Mus musculus: one gene and its partners. The protein of the gene in region 1 interacts with the protein of each later gene in a pairwise test. Links are inferred from orthologs where the notes say so. Each region holds a gene or a part of one and is shown in the gene's direction. Other genes may lie near its edges.

The links.
Region 2: the proteins of Txlna (region 1) and Ccdc136 interact in binary tests that used the Homo sapiens proteins (3 or more experiments, as listed by UniProt). The two-hybrid records come from large-scale screens. The link is inferred for Mus musculus from reciprocal best matches to the Homo sapiens genes TXLNA and CCDC136.
Region 3: the proteins of Txlna (region 1) and Vps52 interact in binary tests that used the Homo sapiens proteins (3 or more experiments, as listed by UniProt). The two-hybrid records come from large-scale screens. The link is inferred for Mus musculus from reciprocal best matches to the Homo sapiens genes TXLNA and VPS52.
Region 4: the proteins of Txlna (region 1) and Cep57l1 interact in binary tests that used the Homo sapiens proteins (3 or more experiments, as listed by UniProt). The two-hybrid records come from large-scale screens. The link is inferred for Mus musculus from reciprocal best matches to the Homo sapiens genes TXLNA and CEP57L1.
Region 5: the proteins of Txlna (region 1) and Stmn2 interact in binary tests that used the Homo sapiens proteins (3 or more experiments, as listed by UniProt). The two-hybrid records come from large-scale screens. The link is inferred for Mus musculus from reciprocal best matches to the Homo sapiens genes TXLNA and STMN2.
Region 6: the proteins of Txlna (region 1) and Cdr2 interact in binary tests that used the Homo sapiens proteins (3 or more experiments, as listed by UniProt). The two-hybrid records come from large-scale screens. The link is inferred for Mus musculus from reciprocal best matches to the Homo sapiens genes TXLNA and CDR2.
Region 7: the proteins of Txlna (region 1) and Ppfia1 interact in binary tests that used the Homo sapiens proteins (3 or more experiments, as listed by UniProt). The link is inferred for Mus musculus from reciprocal best matches to the Homo sapiens genes TXLNA and PPFIA1.

Annotation. Positions count from the first base shown.
Region 1 is NC_000070.6:129,628,322-129,631,065, reverse strand, and holds part of Txlna (alpha-taxilin), read left to right. Parts: intron 1-661; coding exon 662-754; intron 755-1,419; coding exon 1,420-1,515; intron 1,516-1,867; coding exon 1,868-2,185; 3' UTR 2,186-2,744. UniProt on the Homo sapiens protein: May be involved in intracellular vesicle traffic and potentially in calcium-dependent exocytosis in neuroendocrine cells.
Region 2 is NC_000072.6:29,410,075-29,413,574, forward strand, and holds part of Ccdc136 (coiled-coil domain-containing protein 136), read left to right. Parts: coding exon 1-168; intron 169-1,173; coding exon 1,174-1,311; intron 1,312-1,635; coding exon 1,636-1,794; intron 1,795-2,289; coding exon 2,290-2,460; intron 2,461-2,827; coding exon 2,828-3,013; intron 3,014-3,500. UniProt on the Homo sapiens protein: May play a role in acrosome formation in spermatogenesis and in fertilization.
Region 3 is NC_000083.6:33,954,392-33,958,599, forward strand, and holds the start of Vps52 (vacuolar protein sorting-associated protein 52 homolog), read left to right. Parts: upstream 1-1,408; 5' UTR 1,409-1,701; coding exon 1,702-1,791; exon of another isoform or gene 1,792-2,293; intron 2,294-2,538; coding exon 2,539-2,623; intron 2,624-3,457; coding exon 3,458-3,510; intron 3,511-3,625; coding exon 3,626-3,701; intron 3,702-3,898; coding exon 3,899-3,966; intron 3,967-4,208. Other genes in the region: Rps18 (40S ribosomal protein S18), read right to left, coding at 687-785, 1,227-1,229. UniProt on the Homo sapiens protein: Acts as a component of the GARP complex that is involved in retrograde transport from early and late endosomes to the trans-Golgi network (TGN).
Region 4 is NC_000076.6:41,807,069-41,811,048, reverse strand, and holds the start of Cep57l1 (centrosomal protein CEP57L1), read left to right. Parts: upstream 1-1,180; 5' UTR 1,181-1,261; intron 1,262-1,385; 5' UTR 1,386-1,401; coding exon 1,402-1,476; intron 1,477-3,980. Other genes in the region: Sesn1 (sestrin-1), read right to left, coding at 1-27. UniProt on the Homo sapiens protein: Centrosomal protein which may be required for microtubule attachment to centrosomes.
Region 5 is NC_000069.6:8,508,281-8,512,326, forward strand, and holds the start of Stmn2 (stathmin-2), read left to right. Parts: upstream 1-1,246; 5' UTR 1,247-1,331; coding exon 1,332-1,350; intron 1,351-4,046. UniProt on the Homo sapiens protein: Regulator of microtubule stability. When phosphorylated by MAPK8, stabilizes microtubules and consequently controls neurite length in cortical neurons.
Region 6 is NC_000073.6:120,979,513-120,983,807, reverse strand, and holds the start of Cdr2 (cerebellar degeneration-related protein 2), read left to right. Parts: upstream 1-1,495; 5' UTR 1,496-1,755; coding exon 1,756-1,831; intron 1,832-4,295.
Region 7 is NC_000073.6:144,550,930-144,555,129, reverse strand, and holds the start of Ppfia1 (liprin-alpha-1), read left to right. Parts: upstream 1-1,400; 5' UTR 1,401-1,611; intron 1,612-2,110; exon of another isoform or gene 2,111-2,332; intron 2,333-2,596; coding exon 2,597-2,860; intron 2,861-4,200. UniProt on the Homo sapiens protein: May regulate the disassembly of focal adhesions. May localize receptor-like tyrosine phosphatases type 2A at specific sites on the plasma membrane, possibly regulating their interaction with the extracellular environment and their association with substrates.

The DNA of each region.
Region 1 (2,744 bases):
CTGGAACACAGAGATTTGCCTGTCTTAGCCTCCTAAGTAATGGGATTAAATGTAGGCATGTGCCATCATGCCAGGCATTTTTGTTGTTCTTTGAAGAACAGGTCTCTGAGTTTAGCTGTGGCTACAACTAACCCAGAACTTACCTTGTAGACCAGGCTCTCTGGTGGCCTTGAACTTGTGACAGTCCTCTGACTCCCAGATGCATGAGGCGTTAGCTACCAGGTCTAGCTCAATTCTGTCTACTTTTATTTTGCTGTATTGATATGCATATGAGTGTTTTGCATGGATGTATATTTTTCCCCACTTGTGTTCCTGGTACCTTTAGAGGTTAGAATAGTTCCAGACAGTTGTGGTCTCCATGTAGGTGCTGGGAATTGAACCCAGGTCCTCTGGAAGATCAGCCAGTGATCTTAACCTCTGGCCGTCCCTTCAGCCCTATCAGTGTATGCTTCGTTTTGTTTTGTTTTGTTTTGTTTTGTTTTTGTATGAGACCAGTGTCTCCACATGCTGACGTCTTCCCAAGGCTGACTTTGCAGGATTGTCGTGTTGGAACACATCCTTGCTGTGCACGACTTTGCTTGTGTGGTATTAGGAGATGGTGTCTCAGTAGAGTGGCTCTGTCCGCGTTCCTCCTCATCGTGCTCCTGTGCTTCTTACGCAGCTCGCCCTGTACACGGAGAAGTTTGAGGAGTTCCAGAACACACTTTCCAAAAGCAGTGAAGTGTTCACCACGTTCAAACAGGAGATGGAAAAGGTAACACAGGGAGGCCCTCAGCCTGGCCAGGACGGTGGGCGTTCTGGCCGCTTCCTTCAGACCTGAGCTGCCCTGGCAGCCTCACAGGCACTCTATATATCAAGAGGTAGTTAGAAGGGGCCATAGCTCCCTCTCCTGCCAGAGGGGACAGTTTCTGTTTGTTTTTCTATTATTGTTTGGTTTGATTTCTTTATTTATGCTGGAATTTTAAATAGAGAATATGCATTCTACTAGGCTTCAATGGTAGCTTTTTTTTTTTTTTTAATTTTATTTTATTTCTTTAGAGATGTAGTCTCTCTATGTAATCCTGGTTTCCCAGGAACTCTCAGTGTAGACCAGGCTGGTCTTGAACTCATAAATACCCACCCTGCCTCTACCTCGAGAGTGCTGGGATAAAGGCACCCAGCATATTTTTAAACAATATTGTGAATAGATATGTATGTGTATGGGCTATGCATATGGCAATTATCCAAGTACCATTTACAGGAGTTGAATCTGTGGGTTTGGGGCATGGAGCTCATCGTTAGCCTCGGCAGCAAGTACCTCCTTATTTCCTAAGCAGTCTTGTCAGCCCCTCAGTGGTCAGCTTAACTTGAGGCTCCCAGTTGGCAGAGACGTGCAGATAGCCCATCTCTGACCCTTTCTTTTCATCTGTGGTGTAACAGATGACAAAGAAGATCAAGAAGCTGGAGAAAGAAACCACCATGTATCGATCCCGGTGGGAAAGCAGCAACAAGGCTCTGCTGGAGATGGCTGAAGAGGTGGGTGGAGGGCCGCGGACTGGTCTGTGGGCCTTTTCCCCTGCTGTCACTCAGTCACTGACACTACACGGGAACTGGGGCTGCGTTTCCAGGAGCACTTATCCAAGTGAGCCCTTTTGGGGACCTTTTTTATGTCTGCACATTTTTTTGAGATCTGAGAGTGGTCCGTGGTCCTGTTTAACAATCGACAGTTTAAAGATGCCTGTGGTGTGTCAGGGTATCTGGCAGACAAGTAGAATACATCCTCTGGCCCTCGGCTGGGGCTGTTTACTACATGGGCCAGCTTTTGGGTTTAAGCTGCCCAGACTTGAGGATGTGAACGTCTCACTGAATGCTTCATTTCTCTACCTAGAAAACCGTCCGGGACAAAGAGCTGGAGGGCCTGCAGGTGAAAATCCAGCGGCTGGAGAAGCTGTGCCGAGCACTGCAGACCGAGCGCAATGACCTCAACAAGAGGGTACAGGACCTGACTGCAGGGGGCATCACTGACATTGGCTCTGAGCGGAGGCCAGAGGCCACCACTGCCTCCAAGGAACAAGGGGTTGAAAGTCCTGGGGCTCAACCAGCCAGCTCTCCAAGGGCCACAGACGCTCCTTGCTGCTCGGGAGCCCCGAGCACAGGAACAGCAGGCCAGACAGGGCCTGGAGAGCCCACCCCTGCCACTGCCTAGAGATCACGGTGCTTGGGCATGCTGGGACAGGAGCAGCAGCCCAGTCAGGCCTCGTCCATGCAAGGCTTCCACACGGAGCAGCCCAGGGCTGAGGCCGTCGGACACTTGGCAATTGTGAATTTTGTGGGTTAGTCTTACATGGATGGGCAGGCGTGCAGACCCTCATGCGGTTCTATAGTCAACACCTGTAGGTGCACTGTGGGCTTTCACCTCGGACAGTGTGCAGATGAAGTTGGAGACTCTGAAAACGGAAGAGTCATAGAAGATGTCATCTGAAGCTGCCGTCACAGTAAGCTGGCAGGTCAGATGACTCCAATATTTTCCTACCCAGCTCTAAGGCTCAGACCCCTCTTGGCCTTTTCAGAGCTCATGACAAGTGAAAGCACCCAGGCCTGGACTCCTCCTTTTTGTGAGCAGAACTTGGGCGATTTGGGCTCTCGTCCCTCCCTCGCTGCCCTGGAGGTTCCATTGCTTCTCTTAACCTGGGAATGGTGTCCCTGGCAGAGTCTTTGTGGGGCAGAAGTGGAGGTGTGCCTGTGTGGGAGGGAATCCCTCAGGC
Region 2 (3,500 bases), on another chromosome or scaffold:
ACACGGAGAGCAACAGAGCGATGGTTGGAATCTCACCTGCTACGGAGTACGATGTCCTCCGAGTCTCAGACGTCAGAACTGGATTTCCCAGAGCCTGACCCTGTGATGCAGCTTTTGCGCCAGCAGCTGCTGGGAGCTGAGGAACAGATGCAGGACATGCAGGACAAGGTAGGCGACAGAGAGTGGAGTGGCAGGCTGCTGCTACCATCAGTCTCACTTTTCCCTGGCCTGTAGTAGGGAAAGAGCTAACAGAGGAGCCCTGCACTGTAGGAGGGTATGGTGCTCTGGGGTCTTGCCTGACTGATAGAAGTATAGTCATCTGTCAGGGGATGACATTTCAGTCAGAAAATGGACCAGATATTTTGTCCCATACAGTTATGTGGATGCTGAAAACTCTTATCCCTTCTGATGTTGTAGTGCAGCATATTATTGAACATGTGTGTGGTGCTAGTGTACATAGGCCTACTGTGTGTGAAGCTGCCAGCTGTGTGCAAGTATGACACATATCATTGTTACATAGTAACGTGACGTGAAGAGAGTGCTAATAGTTTATGTTTCTACCACATTGTGTTTTACTGTTATTTTAAAAGCCTTCATCCTTAAAAACAAAGAAAAAGTGTTCATTATAGAACAGGATACCAGAACGGCGATGGTGGCTCACACCTTTAATTTCAGCACTTGAGAGGCAGAGACAAGCAGATCTCTGAGTTTGAGGCCAGCCTGATGAAGTTTCAGGATGTCCAGGACTACACAGAGAAACCCTGTCTCAGAAAACAACAACAAAAACAAACAAAAAGGCCAGGACACCATATTATACTGACAGCATCTTCAGACATCTCGTATCTGCTGCCGCTATTAATGGCACCATTTTCATTTGCGCTTAGTTCACTGTCAGGGTATATATTAGCATCCCAAGAGCAATAAAACACAGTCACAAACACACGTGCTGTGCTTATCTAAGTTTGTGTAAGTGTACTCTATGATGGTCACACGATAATTCAGTAGTGTAATGACACATTTCTCAGCATGTGTCTACGTTGTTATATGACACCTGACTATATTCTAATTAAATGAATGACATATTTTCCCAGGTCATGGTGTGTGTGTGTGTGTGTGTGTGTGTGTGTGTGTGTCTCATCTACTACAAATCAGCCCATTGCATTTCCCACACAGTGTAAGAACTTGTATTGTGAATTGGAAGAGCTACAGCATCACCGCAGAACCAGTGAGGAGGAGCAGAAGCGGCTGCAGAGGGAGCTCAAGTGTGCCCAGAATGAGGTGCTCCGGTTTCAGACCTCCCACAGCACCCAGGTGAGCACTGCCAGGGGAAGGGAGGGCAGCAAGGCTCAGAGTCACCGCCTCCAGGTGGACATCAGGAGTGAGGCTGACCTCTGCTGGCTCTTACCCTGTGACCAGGACCCAACAGCATCACCCAGAGCCCCTGCATATAGAAGCCACATAGGATGGCATGTAAAAAGGTGTCCTTGTTGAGTGTCTTCATCACTGAAGAAACCCAGCCATAGACCCAGAGAGCTTCTTCTCAAGGTCTCTGCATCAGAGAAGTATCACAGAGGCCTGGATAGGGCCCACGGCTTCTTGAGAGTAACTGCTCTACCCGCATCCTCCCTACTGCAGCATGAGGAGCTGAAGAGCAGGCTCTGTACCCTGCAGCAGAAGTATGACGCTAGCCAGGACGAGCACAGTGAGCTTCTGAAGGTGCAGATGCAGCTCGAGACTGAGCTCCAGCAGCTCAGACTCCTCAGATGCACTCCTGTAGAGAGCCAGAGTGAGAAGGTAACCGTGCCAAAGGCAAAGGGACAGCGGAGGGGCCACTAGCACCGCACTGAGGTTGAGGGGCTGTAAATAACAGGAGCTCCAGAGCTAGGGATACAGCTTTTGGTAGACTGCCTGCCTGCCTAGCATCATGAGGTCCCAGGTTCAGTCTCTAGCGCTGAAACAGAACAAAAGGAGACAACTGTTTATGAGCCTAGTGTTGTAGAACATATCTGTTATGACAGAACTGAGAAGCTAGAAGCAGAGGAATCAGGAGTTCAAGGCCAGTGCCAGCTACATAGACTGAGTTTCATGAGATTAGATTACATTTGTTTACAAACAAGCAAGTCAAAAGAATAACTGTCTTCTTAAAGTTCTGCGTAAGGAGGGGGGCAGGGGAGGGGTAAAGCAGCAAGTGGAAGGGAGGAGGAAGACTCTCAGGTGGTCAGTGGCTGAGTCAGGAGAAGAGCAAGGTCATAAAACCCAGCACCACTACCCAAAGCCCCCTGCGTGCAGGAGTTGATGTGCCGGCTCCAGAAGCTGCAGGCCCAGCACCAGTGCAGTGTGAATGAGAAAGAGCAGCTTCTAGAAGTCCAGCATCACCTGCACGACAAGCTGCGGTGCCACGAGTCAGAGGTGCATCGGCTCCGAAGCATGGTGGACTGCTTGCGAGAGAAAAATGAGAAGGTAAAAGGAAGGCCAGGCCAGGAGCACATAGCCAGGCAGGATCTTCTGTGAGGGTAAGCAGAGTGGGACTGTTGGAGTTCTGTGGAGGAGTTGCTGGTGAAGTGGACCCAGGGCATGTAGAAAGAGCTGCTTGTGAGATAGCCACAGTTTCCTTTTATTTTAAACCAGAAAATCAGTCTACAGACAGGAATCCTGTTGCTTCCTTCAGGAGGAAGTCTCCCAAGGTCAGGGTGTCAAGCCTGTTAAGGATAGGTCTGTTTGGTTCTCCCTGGCTGGGATGAAGTCAGGGTCGGAAAGGTAAGGGCGGAAAGATCAATAGTGAGGCGGTAGTTGTACATGGCATGATGGCTCTGCCTTCCTTACCCAGAATTCAGGGATACACCTCCAGCTTCAGGAGATGAAGGGATTGTATCAGTTCAGCAGGGATGAGCTGGAGCGCCAGAAGCACATGTATGACCAGCTGGAGCAGGACTTCCTGCTCTGCCAGCAGGAGCTGACAGAGCTCAAGTCCAGCCAGTCCCTCTGTGAAGAGAATGGAAACTGCTCAAACAAGGTAATTGTACTTCAGAGTGCTAAGGGCTTCTGGCCAGCTTGGGAGAGAGGAGAAGCAGACAAGGTCGCCCAACTGAAGGTAGAAGACAAAGGCAGACCCATGTCTGCTGGCCTTAAAACAGTTCGTCTTGAACTTGACTTGAATAAGAACCATAGCTTAGTAGATGAATGCGTTTGATCTCAGGCAGTATGAACATGTGGTTTTTATACAACCCCATGTATATATGCATTTCTACAGTGGTATTATAACTGTACTGATGTCTCATCATTTGAAGGGAGGCACATACATACACATGTATAACTAAACTAAAAAGAATAGAGCCAGATTTCTGAAACAACTTGCAAGTGATTTTAAGGATATGGTCTGTACCTTGAATGCTGATTTGAGTATTAGAAGAACCAGTGCTCTTTTAGGATATAGTCAGACTTGAAGTAAATTCCCAAATCTTGAATTTTGCTTCAAATTAAACAAAATGCTATTCTTGTTT
Region 3 (4,208 bases), on another chromosome or scaffold:
CCACCACACCAGGCACCTCCTGCTGTGCTATCATTGTTTGCCAAAGTGCAGAATTAAAAAAAGTCAACATGGCAAGGACTTAAAAGTGAGACTTCACAAGGTTAAAAAAATTTACTCCAACTTTTATGTCCACCTGACATTACCTCGGCTCCCCAGGCCTCCTTCAAACCTCTCAGCAGCCACCCAGTTCCATCTATACCCTAGCATCCCACAAGGTCCCACCACTGACAGGTCTCATGGCTGAACACACCTGACCAGCAACTCCTCAAATCACCAACTTCAAGTCCTGTCCCTGTCTACAAGACTTTTAGCTCTGCAGAGAAACATCCCAGCTTCCTCCTACGACCTCCCTTTTTGCCATAATGGGGAAAACTGCCAGCTTCTGTGTCACCTTCCACTGTGGCATCTGCCAATAGCTTCTGCAGACCACCCCCAACCATCACCGCTAAGCCTGGACACCTCTTAGGATGTTAGTTTACAGGAATTCTACTCAAGGTTTGCTGACAGCAGAGACTGCTCTCGGAAGCTGAAGATCTCGGGAAACCTCTGCAAGGTGGGACATGACTACACTCACACCCCACTACCCCTGGAGCAATGTTTTGGTTTAACCCTGGGTCATCATCAGGCTTTTATTGAAACGGGTTGGGTGAGTTTAGCTGCTTCTCTTTTGCCCCTAACACTTTTACCTTAATGGCAGTGATGGCGAAGGCTATTTTCCGCCGCCCATCGATGTTGGTGTTGAGTACTCGCAAAATGTGCTGGAACTTCTCAGGGATCACTAGAGACTGAAAGAACACGGGCAGTTATCAAGACAGGTTACCCCCAAACCGGGAAGGTGGCCGAGGCAGGGTTGGATTGTCTGCTAAGTTCTTACACAACTCCTCAGTCACCGGGGCTCACCCCTAACGCGCTCAGGCGCGGGAAATCGCAACCTCTGACAAGAGGGTGGACGTCGGCCGCGGCCCCCAATTCCCTGGACAGGGGAAGCGGGAGGAGCCCACACACAGCCAAGCTCCTGGCAGCTTTGCTGTGTAAGAGGAGCGAGCATTCCTCGGGGCCCCGATCCCCGGGATTTCACGTCTTAGGTCGTCCCCTCTCGGGTCACACTCCATCGCTCCACAGAGGGCTGTGGGCCCGCAGCATGGGGCACTCTCTGAGTCCTGACGGAAATCTCTCCCTGCCCCGGCTCCGATGTCGCAGGATCCCGGCGCGGATTCCGCTCTTACCATGGCGGCGGCACAGACGGCGGCGTGTAGGCCTCCTGTGGAAGAGAGAGCGGAAGTGACGTATAAGTCTTATATAGATTCCTGGCGGAAGAGGCGGGGCTATCCCCGGAGGTCCACTTCCGGAAATTGCTTCTCTCCCCGTCTCCCCCTAAGGGAGGAGTTGTATTGAGACAGTTTTGGAAGGGACCGGAGCTATAACTTCCGGTTCGGCCTTCTCTGTCGTCGTACCGTTCTTGTGTGGGCGCGGAGCGAAGGTTCCGGAACAGAGTTGTGTTCGAGACGTTCACCTTCCTGTTTGCACTTGACCGAAATGATCAAAGCCTAACCGGAGAGGCTGGAGCCGATCGCCTTAGCTCAAATATCTGGGACCCTTTTTTGCTCCATAGAAGACATTCCAGGACTTGTAGCTTTGCTTCGGGAAACGGACTTTCTGAGACTGACAGCTGCCGGAAGTCGGAAGTGAAGCTGCGGGGGAATGGCAGCCGCAGCGACCATGGCGGCCGCTGCCCGGGAGCTGGTGTTGCGGGCTGGGGCCTCAGATGTAGAGGAGGAGGAGGGCCCGCTGGTGAGAGCACGGGGCTGTAGGTCCTCCGGAGTATCGTCAGGTTGTCCCTCTCCTCAGGCGTAGGCTCCATTTAGACAAGAGGTTCGGAGCCGTCTTGCCACGGGTGATGGTGACCTAGCCTTCGTAGGGACCAAAGTGGCTGAAACCCAAGCCCCAGGGACAGTGTCAGCTTCCTGTTCACGATTTTTAGTAGAAAAAAATTTTAGTGTTTAGCGTAAAAGGTTAAGAACGTGGCCTCTGGAACCAATTTGCCCGGGGTCCCACCTCCAGCCCCACCGCTTGAAAGCTATGCTGTGTTTTCGGTGCCAAAACTTCCCACACCTTTACAGTGCAAACGCTGTTAGGACATACCTTATAGGTGGTCGTTAGGATTAGCCGAATGAGCATGTTAAATGGTGTACCAGACACAGGGGTAAACACTATGTAAGCTGGCGATTTTAGCCTCTGGAATTCCCTCAGGGATCACCTGGAATAGCTGGAAACTGAGGTCCTAAATTCAAAGGCAAGTTTGACTAGTCCTAGTTTTTTCTCATTTGAACAACTCCAGCAACTCCATGAATTGCCTGATATTCTCAGTAGCCCAAGATTGTAGATTTGAACGCATCAGAATCTTTGACCCACTTACTCCGGCACCCCCCACCCCCCAAAGCACCCCCCACCTCACTTGGAGGATTAAGGATACCCGATTATGTTTTGTTTCCAACATCTCTTTCTGTATCCCACATTCATTAACCTGTCCCTCTTCAGGGGGGGGGTTCTGGACTCCAAGAACCCCTACAACTTGGAGAGTTGGACATCACCTCTGATGAATTCATCTTGGATGAAGTGGATGGTAAGTGCTGACATGGGGTGGGAGCAAAGTAGACCCCTTTATTCTTTAGAAATATATTACATGACCCCAGTAGATTACCCTCTATGGTTTCTTTCTTTTGTATGTGTGTGTGTTTTTATTTTTAATTTATTTTTATTTTTTTGGTTTTTTTTCGAGACAGGGTTTCTCTGTAGCTTTGGCTGTCCTGGAACTCACTCTGTAGACCAGGCTGGCCTCGGACTCAGAAATCCGCCTGCCTCTGCCTCCCAAGTGCTGGGATTAAAGGCGTGCACCACCACCCCCCGGCTGGCTTTTTTCTTAATGTACAGATAAAGTTTAATCCATGAGTTGAGAAGGCTTAACTTCTAATTTAGGAATAGTAAGAAATGAACAGTACGAGTCGAATAGTCACAGCAATACACTATAATAAAATCGCAGCATCACTTTTTCCCCTTTGGGACTATTGTTGAGTAAGAATACAGCCTGGTTGAACATACATACGCAGACAGCTAAGACTGAGTGACTGGGAGGCAGGCACAGCACACACCATAGATTAACGGAGCAAAGATGTTTCAGATCCAAGCCCAGGCGAGAGGTTCTCTAGCTTCTCAGAATGCCACACATTTTAGATCTTACAAGCCACACTTTGGAAATCCCCTTTTAATATTTTCCATCTGTGGTCGAGTAGACCATGAGGAGCAGAAACAGCAGGAAGTCCCACCGGGCAAAGCAGCTGTGCCTATAACTGGAGAGGGTGGGGGCTGGGAGGGAAGGGGAGATTGGTGTGGTGTGCGTGTGCCCAGTGTGGGCAGAGGGAGGTCTGGCAGGGGACACTAAATATAAGCTTGTTTCCAGTTCACATCCAGGCAAACCTGGAGGATGAGTTAGTGAAGGAAGCTCTCAAAACGGTGAGGCTCTCCACTGGGTTGATCTCCCCACCCTCCCTTCCTTTTGGGGTCCCCTCAGCTTAGTGGCTCCCCTCTAGCCAGTCACGGAGTCTGTACTGGTTGTCCTTCCCCCCAGGGTGTGGATCTTCGACACTATTCAAAGCAGGTGGAGCTGGAGCTGCAGCAGATTGAGCAGAAGTCAATCCGGGACTGTATCCTCCAGCCTCACAGGCACAGGGCCAAGATGGCTGCTATTGGCATGGGCTCTTGGGGGCCTGTGATGCAGGTAGCCCTCAAGGGGATGTCTTCTCTCTCAGGCTTCTGTCACTTTGGGGAGGACCTGGGGGCAGGTACTGCAGATCGGCAGAGCTCTGTGTTCAGTGTGAAGCCCTTGACTTTTGTGGGTCAGATATCCAAGAGAGTGAAAACATAGCGTCTCTGCACAATCAGATCACGGCCTGTGACGCCGTCCTGGAGGTGGGTGGCCCTCACCTGTTGCCCCAAATCTGACTTAATTGCCTCTTCCTCCTCTTCCTCCTCCTCCTCCTCCTCTCCTTCTTCTTCTATCAGTATTTTTTGTCCCCCTTGGACAAGTGATGATCTCCCATCCTCCTGGGTTGCTGGGTACCAGGGATTTGCACAGAGACTTGGTTGACACACCTGTCCTTGTTCCCCGACAACCCGGAGTCATGCCCACAATGTTTCCTGCCCTCCCCACA
Region 4 (3,980 bases), on another chromosome or scaffold:
TCTCGCTTCATTCTCTCCTTCAGCCATGACAATCAAGAGCTTTTTCTTTTTCAGCGTTTAGTCAGTTACCTTTCAGCATTCCCCCAAAGCAGCCCGTCGTTTGTTTGTTTTTTAAACAAAAAACAAAAACAACGAGAAACGCTAAGAATAAAGTCAGAGAAATCCAGCCGTCGTGAAAGCAGGCGTCTGGATGGCACTGGGAATCACACGTGCTTTTTAAAGTTGATGCTTTCAAATCGATCCACAAGGCGGATCACCCAGGCACCCTCTCCTACACGAGGGCAGTCTTCTGACAGAGATTGAAAAGAACAAACTTGGAAAGTTGCAATCTCACAGAGCTGGTTAGCTGGACACAGAGTCCCGGGGAAGTGTTCTCTGTGTCGCAGGGTCAGCGGATATCCTCACGTTGTGGAGCTGTCAAATCCGTGCTTGGTCCCAAAAGGCTGGTAAACAGTAGAAGGTTCTCCAGCCATTCGATTTTTTGTCTGTGCAGCGGCTGGTTCTCGACCGTTCCCACCCCGCCCTCCTCCGACACCAGTCTCCGCCCCCCTCGGCTCCTCCTAGCGCCGCGGCAGGGCAGCGGGCGGGTGCTGGCGGGGTAGGCGGTAGACCCTGGCCCTTAGCTGCTGGGGCCCGAGGCTCCGGTGCTCCGGGGGAGCAGTGTCCGCCAATCACAGTGTCAGCGGCGACTAAGGGCGGCGTCCCCAACCCTGCCGGTTCTTGTCCCCCGGGGTACGCCGATGCTCCTCTTACTCCTCTGTCCTCGCCCACCTCCGCCAAGCCAGAGGGCACCCCGCAATCCAGCAGTCATCGAGCCCAGGGCTGCACGGCTGAAGCAAAGGGCCCCAGGCACAGAGCCCGCCCCTTCGCCCAGCCCCGTCGGTGGGGATCGGCCCAGAGGGCGGGAGCAGGGAGGGGAGACGGGGTCCTCACCCCCAGCCCCTCCCCTGTCCCCGCCCGGGACCGCCGGGAGCCGCCCCTGCCCCATGCCTGCCTCTCCGCCCAGGCACACGCGACCCGCAAAGACAGCCATTGGAAGCAGCCCCGCCCTCGGGCAGAGTACCTCCGGACCCCGAGTCCAGCGCGCCACTGACTAAGACCGGCTGCTGCGCATGCGCGACGCCGGCCAGGGCGCATGCGCTTTCCGCGGTGTTGTCCTTTCTCGACGTTTGGAGGCGCTGGTTTGAAGAAGGGGAAAGAAAAGTAAGGAGTACAGATGCCCGGAGATGTTTATCGAACAAGAAAAGCCGAACAAATAAAGGTGCTCTATAGTATTCCAAGTAGAAATGGGATAGAATTATGAGTGACAGCCAAGCAGGCAGGGCTTTGCGTTGGCTTTTGGGAAATGTAGTTGTAATGCTAACTACGCGCTCTGTTTGCGACAGAAACTACAATTCCCAGATGCCACCGCGACACTTGTCTTTGCCCGCGAACCAACGGTTCTGGAGGCCGTGGTTAACTGGGAGCGTCCATCTGGTAAGCGTGGTAGGCTTGGTTGTGACCCGTTCAGTGAAAAAAAATTTTTTTTTTCCCCTCGGAAACTCTGGTGCCGACGCCATCTGGGATTGCTTCCTTTCCGTCGTGGCTTGCCGGGAGAGAAATAGTGCAGGTGCTCAACACCTTTGGTTGGGTGACTGAGGCAAGGATTTGGGGATCATTGTTTGGAAGGCCAAGGAGCAGCCTTAAGACAGGCAAACTGGAAAAAAAAAAAAAAGAAAAGAAACAAAAAAGCAAAACAAAAAACCGACGCCGCTGCTTCTGCTGTCCTCTTGCACATAGGCCCGTGCTGAATGGATTAGGAATCCCTAAGCGTTGCCATTGCACCTTTGCCCTTACAGGGATCTGTTTTGTGCTGTCTTTGCTCAGTCAGATAGCATCCGAAGGGGATCTTTGAAAGCAAGTCTCTTGTGTCTGAGACTGAAAAGAACTTCAAATGTCCTTAGGTTTGGAAGGTTCTGTATGAAAAGAAGCCTATAAAAACCTCCTAAATGTGTTATCTTTGAACGATATGGTCATTTCTCTAAAGGTGTTTTTGGAAGGTTTTTAATAGACTGGTAATCGGATTCGATTTTAATCCTTTGTTTTACAAAGTAAACATAGTCATAAAATATTAATCTGGAACTAAAGAGATGGTGCAGTAGTTAAGAATTGTTCTTATACAGTACTTAAGTTCGATTCTCAGCCCCAACTTGGCAGCTCACAGCCATTCATAACTTTAGTTCCAGAGGATCTGATGACTTCTAACCTCAGTAGACACCAGGCATAAACCTGGGGCACAGGCATACATGCAAACAATACACTCATTGAAAAATCCAAAACCATAAAAATTAATGAGGCTTTTAACATGAGAAAAGTGTAACAATAACTTTTATTCTCCTGCTGTAATTGCTGTCTGGAGGCTTACTGCCTCCATCAGCTAATCTAGGCCCAATCCTGCAAGCTTCTAGCTTCTGTAAAGGCCTATAGTGTTTCCAGCTTTTGAGACTTCCTGCTGAATAAGCTCACTCTTTCTAGCTCTTTCTGAATTCTTGCTCTCTGGTTCAACTCAGCTGTTTTGGCCCAAACTCCTCTGACTGATTCAAACTGGCGTCTCTTGCTTCTGACTGAATTGCTCTGCTTGGCTTCAAACTAACTTTAGCAATGTGTTCTACTCTTCTGGCTCCTCCTTATTCTCTGGCTCAGCCTGTCATGTCTAGCTTGTTCTCTCTTCACCCTGTCTCTGTAAAACTCTCCCGGTAACACTGTCTCTTTTCCTCTCTCCCTCTGTCTGCTCCCTCCTATGTTGCCTCTCTCTCCTCTCTCATGAGAGTTGGGTAGATCCTAGTCTACTGAATCTTTTTCTGATTCATCACTTTGTTTCCCTCTCTGTTAGACTTCACTTTCAAACAAAGCTGCTTCCTTCTACAAACTTTGCCTTCATTGTTTGGGATTAAAGGTGTGTACTAAGGGTGTATCTGTGTTCTAACCAGAGTAGCTATGTTGCCGAATTAAAATCCCTCTACAGAAGAGTGAGAAAGATACCCCTCATCTTATTAGAACACTTATGTGGCCAGGCGGTGGTGGCACACGCCTTTAGTCCCAGCACTTGAGAGGCAGAGGCAGGCAGATTTCTGAGTTCGAGGCCAGTCTGGTCTACAAAGTGAGTTCCACGACAGCCAGGCCAGGGCTACACAGAGAAACCCTGTCTCGGAAACAAAACAAAACAAAACCAACCAAACAAACACTTATGTGTAAAATACAGTTGTAATACTATTTGATATTGTTGGCTAGAGGAACATTTAGCCCAGTCTTAGAAAGTCAGGGAAGTCTTCATCCCAAGGAAAATGAAGGCCAAATGAATAGCATAAGGCTTCAGTCACCAAGTGCCTTCTGTTCAGAAGGATGTCACTGAGCTTGTATTTTAAGATAGTAAATAAGTAATGTAGAGTATATAGCAAAGGAAACAATGACAGCCAGTTAGGAAGGAATGAAAGGTGCTTGGCTGTGGGAAAAAAATCTTCCTTTTCAGTGGGAGGAGGACCATTGCTGGATGGATGTGCAGGTTGCCTGCCACCTCAGGACAGCTGTTAGAAGATGAGCTTGCAGGGTGGAGTTGCCCTATTCAAAGACCTCCAATATTGAGAGGGTCTTTTAGCCTCAAAGCTGAGGGTGGGGGTTGGGTACACAGGGCTTTGCTTTTGGGAGTGGGTGACACAGACCATGGGCAGGAAGAGTCTGCACTGGGAGGGGGAGGGGTGCAGAGTTTTCTCTGCCTTGTTCTGGGTGGGCTTAATTCTCCAGAGTGTCACAGTTGACCAGCAGCCCTGGTTTTTATTTGGGGGTATGGAGTGTTTTGTTTTGTTTTGTTTTGGGTTTTATTGTAGGCTCCTCCAGTTACCTTTCTTCAAGTTAATTTATATACTTTGCATTCTTTGATGCAACAGCAGTTACTATTTGTAGCAGAACTAAAGAAAGGAAGAATTATGGAAATCAAGGGCTCT
Region 5 (4,046 bases), on another chromosome or scaffold:
AAAATTTTTTTTTAAGTGTAACCTAGTAACTACCAAACAATTTACCAATGGGCAAAATCTTAATTTTTGATACCTTTAAAGTTAAAGAGTGTTTCATTCATGTTCACACTGCAACGATGTTCTTTTTTTTATTTTTTTTCATCTCTGAGATGGAAGTATCTCTTTCTTGCTATTTTTAAATCTCAACCACAATTCCTACATGAGTTTAGGCTGATACAATGTCAGTACAGTAGAGTTCAATCCTGCACATCAAAAGTTCCATGAACACAGGTCCAAAAAGTATCCCTGATGCTGTGTCTCCAGTGCTCTGCACATGCTCAGAAAATATAGGAATTGAGAAAGAATGGACATTTGCTAAATGTTTTTTGAAGTGAACGAATGAATGAGTGAATGAGTGAATACCTTGTTTATAATGTTTCAAAGTTCATTGCACTTCATAGTGCTTAATCTGACTGTGAATGCAGGAAAAATCACTCCTTGTCCAAGTTCGTGTGCTTTCTTGCATCATGTCCTTAGATGGAACTTACATCTCTGCCCAGGTAGCCAACAGTCCTCTCCTCTATGCTAAAGGGAGGAAAAGACAGCCACCCTCCCTCTGTTATAAGACCCTCCTGAGATCATGCACTCTGGAGCCCAGCTATGCTAGAAAGAAAGACCAGTAGCCCAGGCCATTTCTGAGCTGCCACCACAGCCAGACATGGGTTGGTTTGGGAATTCCATCATATATTAGGGAGGCCAGGATTCACCAAGGGCAGGGCCAAAGGTAAAAGAGAAAATAAGAAACACTGGTAACACAAGCTTTAAACAGATTTTTCCAAAACTCAGCACACTGGGGTGGGTTCTCAGGCCCCTGAGTCTATTCCTTCTCTGTGCCAATCTATGCAATGACACATGTTTGAGCAAAGTATAGCCTCCTGGGTACAGGTAAGCACAGCCCAGTCCTTAGCTCCAAGGAGGCTTCCAGGCTAAGGCACCACTCCACTTGGACTGTACTATTGGGCTCCAAAATGGGGGGGAGCTTCCAGACAAGGACTGATTTCCATTTCAAACTGCATTCTGGTACTTTGTACTCCAGCACCATTGGCCGATCAATATTTAATGCTTGGAGATTCTCACTCTGCGGGAGTCATGTCAGGGGACCCTGAGAGCCAATCTGCTTGAGCTTCTGCGTGATAATTATTCATGGGCTCCTGCCTCTTGCTCTTTCTCTAGCACGGTCCCACTCTGCAGACTCAGTGCCTTACTCAGACTCCTCTCTCGCTCTCTCCGCGGCTACAGCTGGACCCTTCTCCTTTGCCTTCGCCACCACTCCGTGCGTGCACATCCCTACAATGGCTAAAACAGCAATGGGTAAGAATCGCGTTTTGCTCCCCACGGGCTCTATCTGGAGCCAATCTCTCCCTTTCTCTCTCGGATCTCTAAAGACATTAAAAGATATTTTATAAAGGGAAAGACATTCATGACAGGAACCGGGAAAGGTTGGAGGGAGCTCTAAGAGACCAAAGGGGGAAGGGTGTCTTTGAAAAACTAAAGTAAATGGTTTCTTTTTAAAAGATAGAAGCAGGTAAGTTTTCCTCCAATGGGTAGGAATTTTATTCTGCTTCCATATTTAAAACTAAAGTGTCCATCAGAGGGGAGGGGGCTACCTTAACGATTTGCCTTTAGTGAGGTGAAGGGACATTTCGGAAAGTGGTTTTGAACGTCCTATATTTATTCTGTAGTTTAAAAAGATAATAGGGACAGGAAGGGAGTGATGTTGGAATAAAAGAGAAAATGCAAAGTCAAAGCGGTCCCATCCTGGAGGTTTGAGAGAGGAGTGGGAACGGGGGAGGGGAGTGGGCACATTTAATGGTATTGTCTATCTTGGAAAAACCACTAGTCTTGGGGCGCGGTGCGGGGAGGTAAGGCGGCCGGAGGGGTGGGGTAGGACCTTAGCTCCTTTGTTTTAGGAAGAGGGAGGGGAAACAGGAGGAGGGCGTGGAGGGCGCGGGTGGGCAGCTGCAGGGGCGGGAGAGCGTGCGCGGCAGGGAGGGGTAAAGGGACCTGGCTTCCCAAGGCGCCGGGGTGGGGTTTCTTTGTGTGTGAAGCAATGGTGGGAGTGTGGGGGGGGGCACCTGCAGCGCTGGGCATACTATGCGGACAGCCCCACCCTGTGCAGAGTCAAGCTGTCCCCACCCGGACCCAGCTCCACACCCTCAGTAGAATGGGGGCCTAATGGGGAGCTCAGCACAACACTGAAAAACCCAACCCTGCGGGAACGGCAGAGCCCCGCCACGCCCCACTCACTCATTAGCAGCCTGCGTGCCTGACCTGACCGCTAACCTCAGCCGCTCCACCCTGGCCTCATTGTTCTTCGTTAACATATTTTTCAGAACCACATTAAATAGGATATTTAAACATAGTGGCAAAAAAAAAATCAAAAAAGGGAAAGAAGCAGGGGGTGGGGGAGCTATTCTGAACTCCTTGGGTCATTTCGGGGGGAGGGGAGGGGGCAATTAGGGAACCTAGAAGGGTATACAGAAAATAATACAGATAAAGATGTGTAAGGGTGACATAAAGCAAAAGAGGTCAAGGTCTTTAAGATGAGCCTCGTGCAATTTCAATTTTGTGGGTCAGACGGAGCCAAATCTGTAAAACCGCAATAGAGTCCAGTCTAGATCCAGTGCCATCGTTCCGAAAAGGTCCTGTGCTTGTTTCCCTAGGGTAGACAGCCTGGGAGGGGCCTGCACTGGGGAAGCGGCTAGAACCACACACACACACACACACACACACACACACACACACACACACACACTAGATCGAGCTACTGATGCAGAGCAGGAAAAAGGATATGGACTGGCTCCACCCTGCCCTGCCCCACCCTGTCTGCGGAGCCCTGAAGACTCAGGCTCCAGGCTGGCTCCCACGAACTTGGGTGGGGCTGCTGAACAGTCTGCAGTCCGGGCACCCCTCTTTCTAGCCCCGCCTTCCAGAACAGCCCCAAACCCCTCAGGGTGTGCACACATCTGCCCAGGCTCAGGGTCGCAGGACTAAGCCCCTCCCAGCGGATAGAGGCTGTGCAGAAAGGCGAGCCAAGCCTGGCCGCACAAAGACGCAGCCGCGCCCTGCTGGGCCCCTGGACCACAGAGGTGACCCCCTTCCCTGTGGTTCGGGAAGGTGTCCTTGCCCATGCAGAATCCAAGGACCTTTTTCCCAAGCCCAAGCCCATGGCCTTGTGTTCTGGGATAGAGACCCCACTGAGGGTCCTCCAATGGGGCGTGGCTCGACCCCACCCCTCGTTGCTACAACCAAAGCCAGTGAGCTTGGGGAGCAAGCACGTGGCGATCGCGCGTGGACCCGGGCCAGCCCTGCAGCTCTCGCCTTCCTCTCGGAACTGGGCTCTCGCCCCCACAGAGTATCCCAGGAGAGGGTTCTGCGCAGTGTCCTGAGCTACTCTCGGTTGCCACAATTTGCTATCAAGTCGCTTGTCCAGAAGGGTTCTGATGGGGTTTGGGGAGATTTTCCTGCTCTGTCTGTCCCACGGAGAGGTTTCAGCTGCAGACGACTGGCTAGTTACTCCTTGTGACCAGAATTGTGATTCCTTAGAAATCATCATGATTATTAGTCCAAGACTCACTTATCTCCTCTTAAGTCTCATTTGTTCAAAAAGTATGCTGGTCCCTTTTGGTACCGATTAACCCCTTGCCACTAATCTTCCTGATCATCTTTGCCAACCTCCATCCTCTTCCCATACACAACCACAAAACAATTCTATCTGCTTCTGTCCATTTCAGTTTCTATAAAGCAGATGCATTTTGACTTCCCGTTGCTGTGTTGTATGTTCTTGTGGGTGGGATGTGTGCGCTGGTACTTGCTAAGGACAGCCTATGCACCAGATGATCGCTGGGAAATTCTCCACAGAGAATTGTTTTTGTTTCAATGGGCAAAAATTATATATAACTGAGATGTTATGCCCCTCCACAAGAGGATACAACACATACATACATACATACATACATACATACATACATACATACATACATACGTTTATGCACGCATTTTTTATT
Region 6 (4,295 bases), on another chromosome or scaffold:
AGTCTTTCTTAAGGAATGAAGAGGAAAATCTCGCCAGAACAACATTCCTGTAGGGACAGGGTTTGATGGTTGTGTGCCTTCTATCCCAGCACTCTGGAGGCAGAGCCAGCCTAATCTACATAGTGTGCTAGGCAAAGCTGGGGCTGCACAGTGAGACTCTGTACAAACAACAAACCAACCTCACAATGGGGAGGCTTTCTTGACCTTCACAAGACCATGTTCCCAGGAACAGGTGCATGTTACACTGATCTGAAAAGGAGCATCTTAGGACCCACAAGAATGATGGAGAGTGGCACGCCTAAGGCATCGTTAGCACTGAAAAAAGAAATTAGGGTGAAGTATTCCTTCCTCCAAATTACCCGAGATCTCAGAGAAATAAAAGTATCTCTGAGGATTTGTAGCTTCTTCCTAGCAATTTCTCCTGTTTTAAGCCATAGTAATCTGAGTACACTATTTTAAGGCCACAACTGGTGCTTTTTTTGGATAAGGCAAACTTTCAACTGCTTTCCACTTTAGTTCGGGTGACACTCCGGATCTGTGTGAAGGAGTTAACTTCAGGAGGTTTCTACCAAATCACTACTGCCAAACCTGAGTAATTACTCCCCTCCCCCCCTCAGTTGTCACAGTTCTTCTCCCGTCCTCTGTAGATGCTATCAGTTATAACATCCCCTCCCCCCCTCAGTTGTCACAGTTCTTCTCCCGTCCTCTGTAGATGCTATCAGTTATAACATCCCAAACATCTGCGCCGACCTTTCTGCCCTCTGAGAGTTTCCCTAAGTGAGGTACCCAAATATATTAAAAGTTTAACCCAAGAAACAGTAGTTACGGCTGTGTTAACAAGCTGACGCCGGCAAGCTGGCCACCAAGTGCAATGCCTGATCTTAGGTATTTATCCTGGGCTCTATGAACCTTTAAGAAATTCTATGCAAAACTGTGGCAACTTTTCTCAGGGGAGGCGGCTTCCACTGGCCAGCCCGGGACTCTGGAGTGTGAAGTGGGGTTGGTGACTGCCCTTTTAGGAGTTCATAGCCAGGCCCCTGGAAGGCCAGGGCTCCAAGATTGAGGAGCAGCTCTCACTCAGTAGCGTTCTCTCGGCTTTAACTTCCCGACGGACCATGAGTCTCCCTCCGAGCATCACCGAGGGCAGAGCCAAGGAGAGTTGGCCCGCATCCGAAACCCTCGGGTGGGAAGATGATGACCCGTGCCCAGAATTAGTAGTCCTCGGCACCCGGTGTTCGCCAAAGCCACCTCCACACTCCGGAACTGGAGTGCACTCAACTGAGGAGACGCGACGCAGACAAAAGAGGAGGGGCTGCCGACCGCACCCTCTTCGTCTTTCCCCGCCTCCTTTGTTCCTTCCTAAGCTATTATTGGCTGATGGTCCTCGGACCCGCGACCTTTTTTGATATTCTATTGGCTGAAGTCGCTGTCACTCTATAGGCGGCTCATTCGTGATTGGTCAAGGTGCCTCCCGGGTTTGAATCGTCTCCCCGGCTTTGGGAGGGTTCTGCCAAAGTGCCACGTTGGGCCGGGCAGCAGGCGTGAGGAGCCGGCTCCCGGCGCCACCCGGGGCGCGCTCGCTAGGGCGCCGGCCTTTGGGCGGCGCGGGATAGCGGCGAGAGCTGCTGCGGGACCTGCGTGTCCCGCCCCAGGGTGGCTCTGGCTGAGGGCGGCGGGGCCGGGGGAGAGCCCGGGGCAGCGGCCGAAACGGCAGGGCGGCGGCAGAGCCCGCTGCCCCCGGACGTCCCCGGCGACATGCTGGCAGATAACCTAGTGGAGGAGTTCGAGATGGAGGATGAGCCGTGGTACGACCACCGGGACCTCCAGCAAGGTGAGGGCGAGGTCGCCGGTCGGGAGGGGGGGGCGGGATTGTTGGGGTGGGAGTCCGGGGGTGGCAGGTGTGGAAAGTGCTAGAAAGTTCCTTAGGCTGGAGGTTTGGGATGCCGCGGCCCGGTGCTTCTTGCCCTCACCTGGCAACGGATCCGCCCATCCCGACCGCAGAGAGCAAGCGCGCGCGGCCCACGGCCCTGCGGGTGCGCCACACAGGCTGATGCTCGGTGCTTTAAGAAAGCGCTTGCCGGGTATGAGCGGATGGACCTCTGAGGTGGGCAGGAGTGGACCAGCTTGTCCTGCTCTAGAGGCGAGCTGCTGGCCTGGGTCCGGGTCGTGCTGCCCTGCCTGCCCCACATCGCCTTTCATGGTCCGCAGAGTCTGCAAAGCCGCTGCAGGTGGTGGGAGGGCAGTGCTGCTGTGCGGTACCCGCGCCATCTCTCTGTGAGAGTAAATTTTTTTTTTTTTGTCCCGTTTTCCAGAAAGCAGAGGCTAAAAGATTTAGGTGGATTCCCTAAAGCCGAGTATGAGGAGCCTGTAGACACTGTTCAGTTTCTTAGCATCCCAGTTTACAGCTTACTCAGTTGGGTATTAAACTGTTTTGTTTTGTGTTTTAATTTATTACTTAGCCATCGTTCATCGGGGGCTAAATGAAATTATTCGAGGGCAGCTCTTATCATGCGCTTATCTTTCTTTCGGGTTTTCAATTAAAAATAATCCTGCCTTGGTTTTCTTGCATCGGGGCATCTCCAGAGACAATCTCAAGAGTGCCCCCAGTCTGAAGCCAGTGGCCCATTTTCTTGTACATTCATAGCAGGATTTTGTGTTTGGGGACACTGATAGGCCGGCCCTCAACACCCTGGTAGGCTCCTTTAATTCTCCCAATAGCATAAGGTGCTGCAGTAGGTACCTCTGGCTGAAGAAGATACTGTTGGGGAGACTAGGTATTCACGGCAGACCCCAGAGTAGACATTGTTAACCACCATGCTGAGGGATCCGCAGGAATCCTTTGTGCTATTCTGTATAATGATCTCCACTCCAAACTTTTTGGGAAAATTAATATCTCTTTTGAGTTGGCTACTAAACACCGCCTCTTGTTCACAATTCAACTGAATCTGATGGGGGAAAAATTCGGGCTTGAATGATCCATACTTAGAAAAAGAAAACAGGTAGCTCTTTGGAGAGATGCTAATTTGTTTTTTGTTTTTTTGTTTTTTTTTTTGTTTTTGTTTTTTTGGTTTTTTTAATCCTGTCTGTCTTGATTTCTTAATGTGAAATGACCTAAGCCCACATAGATCCCTGTACTGCTATAATTGAAGCTGACTAGCAGTTACAATGCCGATTTGCCATCACATTTCTCCATGTCCACAAGACAAATTTGTTAGACATTTAGCCTACTTGAGATTTGCCCCATAAGGATTGATGACCTACTTTGATACTTGAGGACTGAAGCAACCATCGTGCGATTGCTTCTATGAAAGCAATTCATATAATCCAAGCAAGAGTTTTTTCTTTGCCATATTTAAGAAGAATCCAAAACCTTCAAGGACTGGCCAGTCTCCCATGTCTAACATCATATATAACACATCATAATAGAAACTTAATTTAGTATTTGTTGACCTGAACTGAGGCTCTCACACAAGATTAACGTTTTCAGCTCTCCTCAATCCAGAGCCCTAGTCTACCCAACAGCCAAACCCCCGTCTCCAGGAGGTTATCAGGAACCAGCAGTTGTACTATCTCGGTCTACTGAGTGGTAAACAAAATACGTTTGGTGCTATGTGTGGCACTCTTAACTTCTGATCCAGATGAAGGTGTCACATCTTCAAGTCTAACAAACCCTAACCTCTGGGCTAATTTACTGTTGATTTCCATTTGGAACTTCTTCTCTACTTTCCAGAGGCTTTCATAGCTGTTATCACAGTGGACTTTGCCATGGCTTCTGCATCATAAGTAGCCATATAAAGTACAAATGGAAGATATGAAATCCTGCTAGCTCATTAATATGCCCATGAAAGAATGATGGCTGCTCTTTTGAGCATCTTTTCCCCATTTTGTTGACTTACATGTTAAATGGTTTGGTGTGCTGGGATTGACCCTAGGCCCTCCGTGCGTGCCACGTAAGCAGTGTACCCCAGAGCCAGCCTAGAAGAACTACCTTTGAACAGAGTTTACAGTTGTTTCTCAAGAACATACTGGCTTTTTTCTAACCTAGGTATTAATGTAGGCAGTGGCACCACTTGTAGCCAGCTATTAGGGAGGCAGGACTCCCACTCAATGGGATGCTGTTCATGAATCTACTCATAGAGACATCTGGAGATGCGAGTAAATAAATGGGACACCTTCAGCACTTGCTGCTAAGGAGTTTGCGAACAGCTCTGTCTCTGTGTAGATTAAGGAACTCTAGTCGGATTTTATCATGTGTTCTTTATGATCTTCTTTATTAACTTATGTAGATTTGTATT
Region 7 (4,200 bases), on another chromosome or scaffold:
ACAGGGTTTCTCTATATAGCCTTGGCTGTCCTGGAACTCACTTTGAAGACCAGGCTGGCCTCGAACACAGAAATCCGCCTGCCTCTGCCTCCCCAGTGCTGAGATTAAAGGCGTGCGCCACCACGTCTGGCTTGAGCATTTCCTCAAATCCAAACCTGAGATCAAGGCAACTGAGAACTTGTGTGCAGTGGCTGATAGTCCTTAAAGACTTTGCTGCTTCTATTTACATTCTGACTTGTTTTGTGGAAAAAGGTCTCATTATATAGATCGGGCAAAACTCAGAGATCTGCCTGCCTGCCTCTGCTTTCTGAGTGCTAGGATTTCAGGTGGGCACTATTGTGCTTGGTTATACTTGTAACTTGACTTTGTAATTAATTACTGACTTCTTGAAACAGGAATCTGCCCATGTAACCCTGACTGTCCTGGCTCTCTATGTAGCCTATACTAGTCGACAGTATTCTTGCCTTGGCCTTTGGAAAGTTTTATTGGCTTTTCAGTTATGGTTGATGATCATTTTGCTTTGGTTTCTGGACTATTTTATTGGCGTTAATTAAAAAAAAAAGTTTTAAAACAAGGTCTCAGTATGTACTCCTGGCTGTCCTGAAACTCACTATGTAGACAAGGCTAGCTTGAACCCAGAGATCTGCCTGGGTGCTGGGAATAAAGGCGTGTAGCACCAAGGCCAGCTAGCTTTTTATTTTTACGTGGAGTCTGGGAAATGGAACTTAGGTTCTAATACTTGCAAGAGTGACTGAGCCCTTACATTTTGTTGTTGTTGTGTGTGCGCGTGTGAATGTGAGCACATGTATGCACCCACACGATACATGTGTGCAGGTCAGAGGACAACATTCAGGACTATGTAGGTTCCGAGGATCTACTGCAGGTCTTCTGGGTCCTAGGGTTCGAACTCAGTCGTCAGGGTTGATGGCAGTAGCCTTTGTTTGTATTTTACAGGCAGAGTCTCCACCTTGCTGTAATTCTCCTGCCTCAGACTTCTGAAGGGTAGGCATAGAGGTAGAAGGTACCTTGCCCGACCTGTCAGCACTTTCCGGTTTTGCAGGTGGTCCGGCGGGACTCCCCAGAGGTCTTGGGTTTTGAGGGGGGGGGCGAGTGCTCAGGTGACGTCGGCGTTTGGGTGACGTCAACACACACACACTGGCGTGAGAGCACGGAAGCAGGACTGCGAGCTGCGCACACCTGCCAGAGATCTTTACCGGTGTTTCCACGGTCGCCCTGTCTCCGCAGGGGGTTGGCCTGCCGGGGGCGGGGCTAAAGCGAGGACTAGCCAATTGGATCTCCCGATAGACCGCCCGCCCACTACCGCGGATCTAGCGCATGCGCACGGCCCCGCGGCCAACCTCTCCCGCGGGGGGCGGTGCTGACGCTCGCGCCGACGCGCCGGACGTCGGGCACGTTGACGCCGGCGACGCGCCGGGCCCGGTTCTCTGCGCTCGCTAGTGTCCCGCGGCGGCGGGCCGGCCTTCGTGACGAGCGGGGCGGCGGGCCCGGGGGCCGGGCGAGGACGCAGCCGCGGGGCTGCGTGGGTCGGCCCGCAGCCGGCCGCCGCCCGAAGGCCGCTTCATAGCCCCGGAGCCGCGCCCGCCGGCCAAGGTGAGGGCGGGTGGAGCGGGCCGCGCTGGGTGGCGGGCCAGGGTCGGTGGGGCCGGGTCGGCAGGGTCAGTGTGCGGGGGTCAGCAGAGCCAGCAGAGTTGCGGCTAGCCTGGCAAAACGGGTTGATAGCAGTTAGGTCCGAGTTCGCTTAGACTGGCCAGAGTAAGTGAGGTTGGGGGCAGTGAGGCTGTGGGGTCAGCTGAGCCAGGCCGGGGCAGCGGGTGCTGCTCAGATGCACCTGCAGCGCCTTCTGCTTCATCCTCCACCCTGTGCCCTGACAGCATGCAATCTCTAGTTCCATCTCACCTTTTCCTCCTCCTCCTCCTTTTTTTTTTTTTTTTAACCTAGCCCTGTTGTCCCGACTTCCTAGATTCCCAGTGTGGGTATATTTTCTCTTTCTGTTCTTTTCCCCTGTCTTTGACTGTGAACTTATGTAAGTTGGGTTGGCTGACCAACCGTTACACAGCAGCAGGCCTTTGCTAAACACTTCTGTCCAGACTTTAAAAAGCCAATCCAGTTGCTTTTTCCGCTGATCACCAAATATCCAGCCCCACAAGTCAGGGTGCCTGCTAGTCCTTCCCAGGAGCTGACTGCACACATTCCTGGAGGATGCTTGGGTCCATAGTGCTGGTGTTTTGTCAGTTTCCAGTCTTCTTCTGTGGTTGAGGGACTGTTTGGAATCTCTCTTCCTGAGGAAACTGTCTTCAGCTGTTAAATGTGGATTTTAAACAGACCCCCACTGGTTGGAGGTGAGCATCCCAGCTCCTCTTGCTCCCAGGACTGTCTCCCCCAATCTGCTCATTATATTGACCTGTGCATGCTACTTCCCAGAGTGTGTGCATCCAGAGTGGATGATCGTCACGGATAGCTCTGGGGCTGTCAGCCTTTTTCTCATTAGCCACAGGTGGTGCTCAGAAAGCTGCAGGTTTGTGGAAACTCTTGTTCTGCACCTACTGATTGTGGTCTGTACCGTTCCTTTTTCAAGATGATGTGCGAGGTGATGCCGACCATTAGTGAAGCAGAAGGCCCTCCAGGAGGAGGTGGGAGCCATGGGTCAGGCTCCCCTTCACAGCCAGATGCTGATTCGCATTTTGAGCAGCTCATGGTTTCCATGTTGGAAGAACGGGACCGCCTTCTGGACACACTAAGAGAGACACAAGAAACACTGGCATTAACCCAGGGGAAGTTGCATGAAGTTGGTCATGAAAGAGATTCTTTGCAGAGGCAGCTCAATACTGCACTTCCACAGGTATGCCCATCAAACTGAAATCAAGGAAGGTTTCTGCCTTTAAATGTCTGCAGGACTGTCTTGTTAGTGTATTAGCTTGCTGGCTGCTTTGTGTAACCACTTGGGAAGTGATGGTTCTGATGTTTTCTGAGCACTGGTAAAATTCTCAGGAATTCAATTTAGGGGAAAAAATGGGGATCCACCAAAGCCATGTGACCACACCACTCCACTGTCATACCTCTTTGGGAAACTGCCTAGATTTAGGAAAGCACTTAAATGTTTTTGACAGGGGGCTATGAAGCAGTTGAGCTGTGTTGAGTGTCCCATTCTGTCTTAAACTTGTCCTTGTCTGCTGTGGATCTGTGAGGAGTGGATCTCAGGGTTTTTTTATCTTATCCCTGGTTTATGTCTTGTGGACTTCCAATTTCCTAGGGAAATCTTGTGGATAAATAGAACTCATTTCATGGGAAAAATTTATACAGGCTTTCTCCAGAACATCTGTGAGCTGTAACTAAACTTTGTTTCAGGGGAGAAAGGATTGAAAATTGAATCCTGAGGCTCCTCTTCCCAGGCAGATGAGACTTTCAGAGCTTGAAATACCTACTGTGTCCTTAGTATCACATTTAGATTGGTATGCTAGAGCCTCCTCTTTTGGAGTTAAGTGGTATAGGAAGGAGAAGGCAGTATAGCCAGCAAAGCCCAAGGTGAGAGGCAGGCATGTGGAGCAGGGGTTGCTTAGATTCCTGCTGACAGCCCACTTTACTGGTTCATGATGGGCGTCTCCTTGGTGCTCAAGGAATCTGCACTTACGCTCTTGTGGTGTGTCTGCAGATATCAGTTAGCAAGTCAGTAATGAGTGCCTTGATGCATCTCTCAGCTGTAAAGTCAGTTCTATGAGATGGGACTAAATGTTTGAATGTCCTTTTTAGAAACAGTAATTTGGTGTTAGTGTTGTGTGCTGAGGGGTTTTGTTTGGTGACTAGAGAGTTGTCTTTTCTTCCTGGAGTCTTAGGAATGAGCAGGTTAATTAGGTCAGATTCCGTTGCCTCATACTCAAGAGGCTTTCAGGAGGTCATGAGTCCTACTTGCTCTACTCTACACTTGGGTTTGTTGCAGCTCAACTCTGCATCAGTGGCTGGTCAACATTGAGGTTTTTGGAAAGAACAGGCACAGGGGAGGCAGAGCTGGTGGGTGTTGTGGGTAGTGAGTTTCAGGCAGTGAGAACTGTCTCACCTGTTGCTAGGTTGTGCTGGCTTGCTGCTCTGCAGTGCCTCATCAAATGTAGGACATGCTTGTGTCCACAGTTACATCATATCTGACCCGAGTCTAGTGTCACAGAGTAAACTTGTTCTAGATAATTC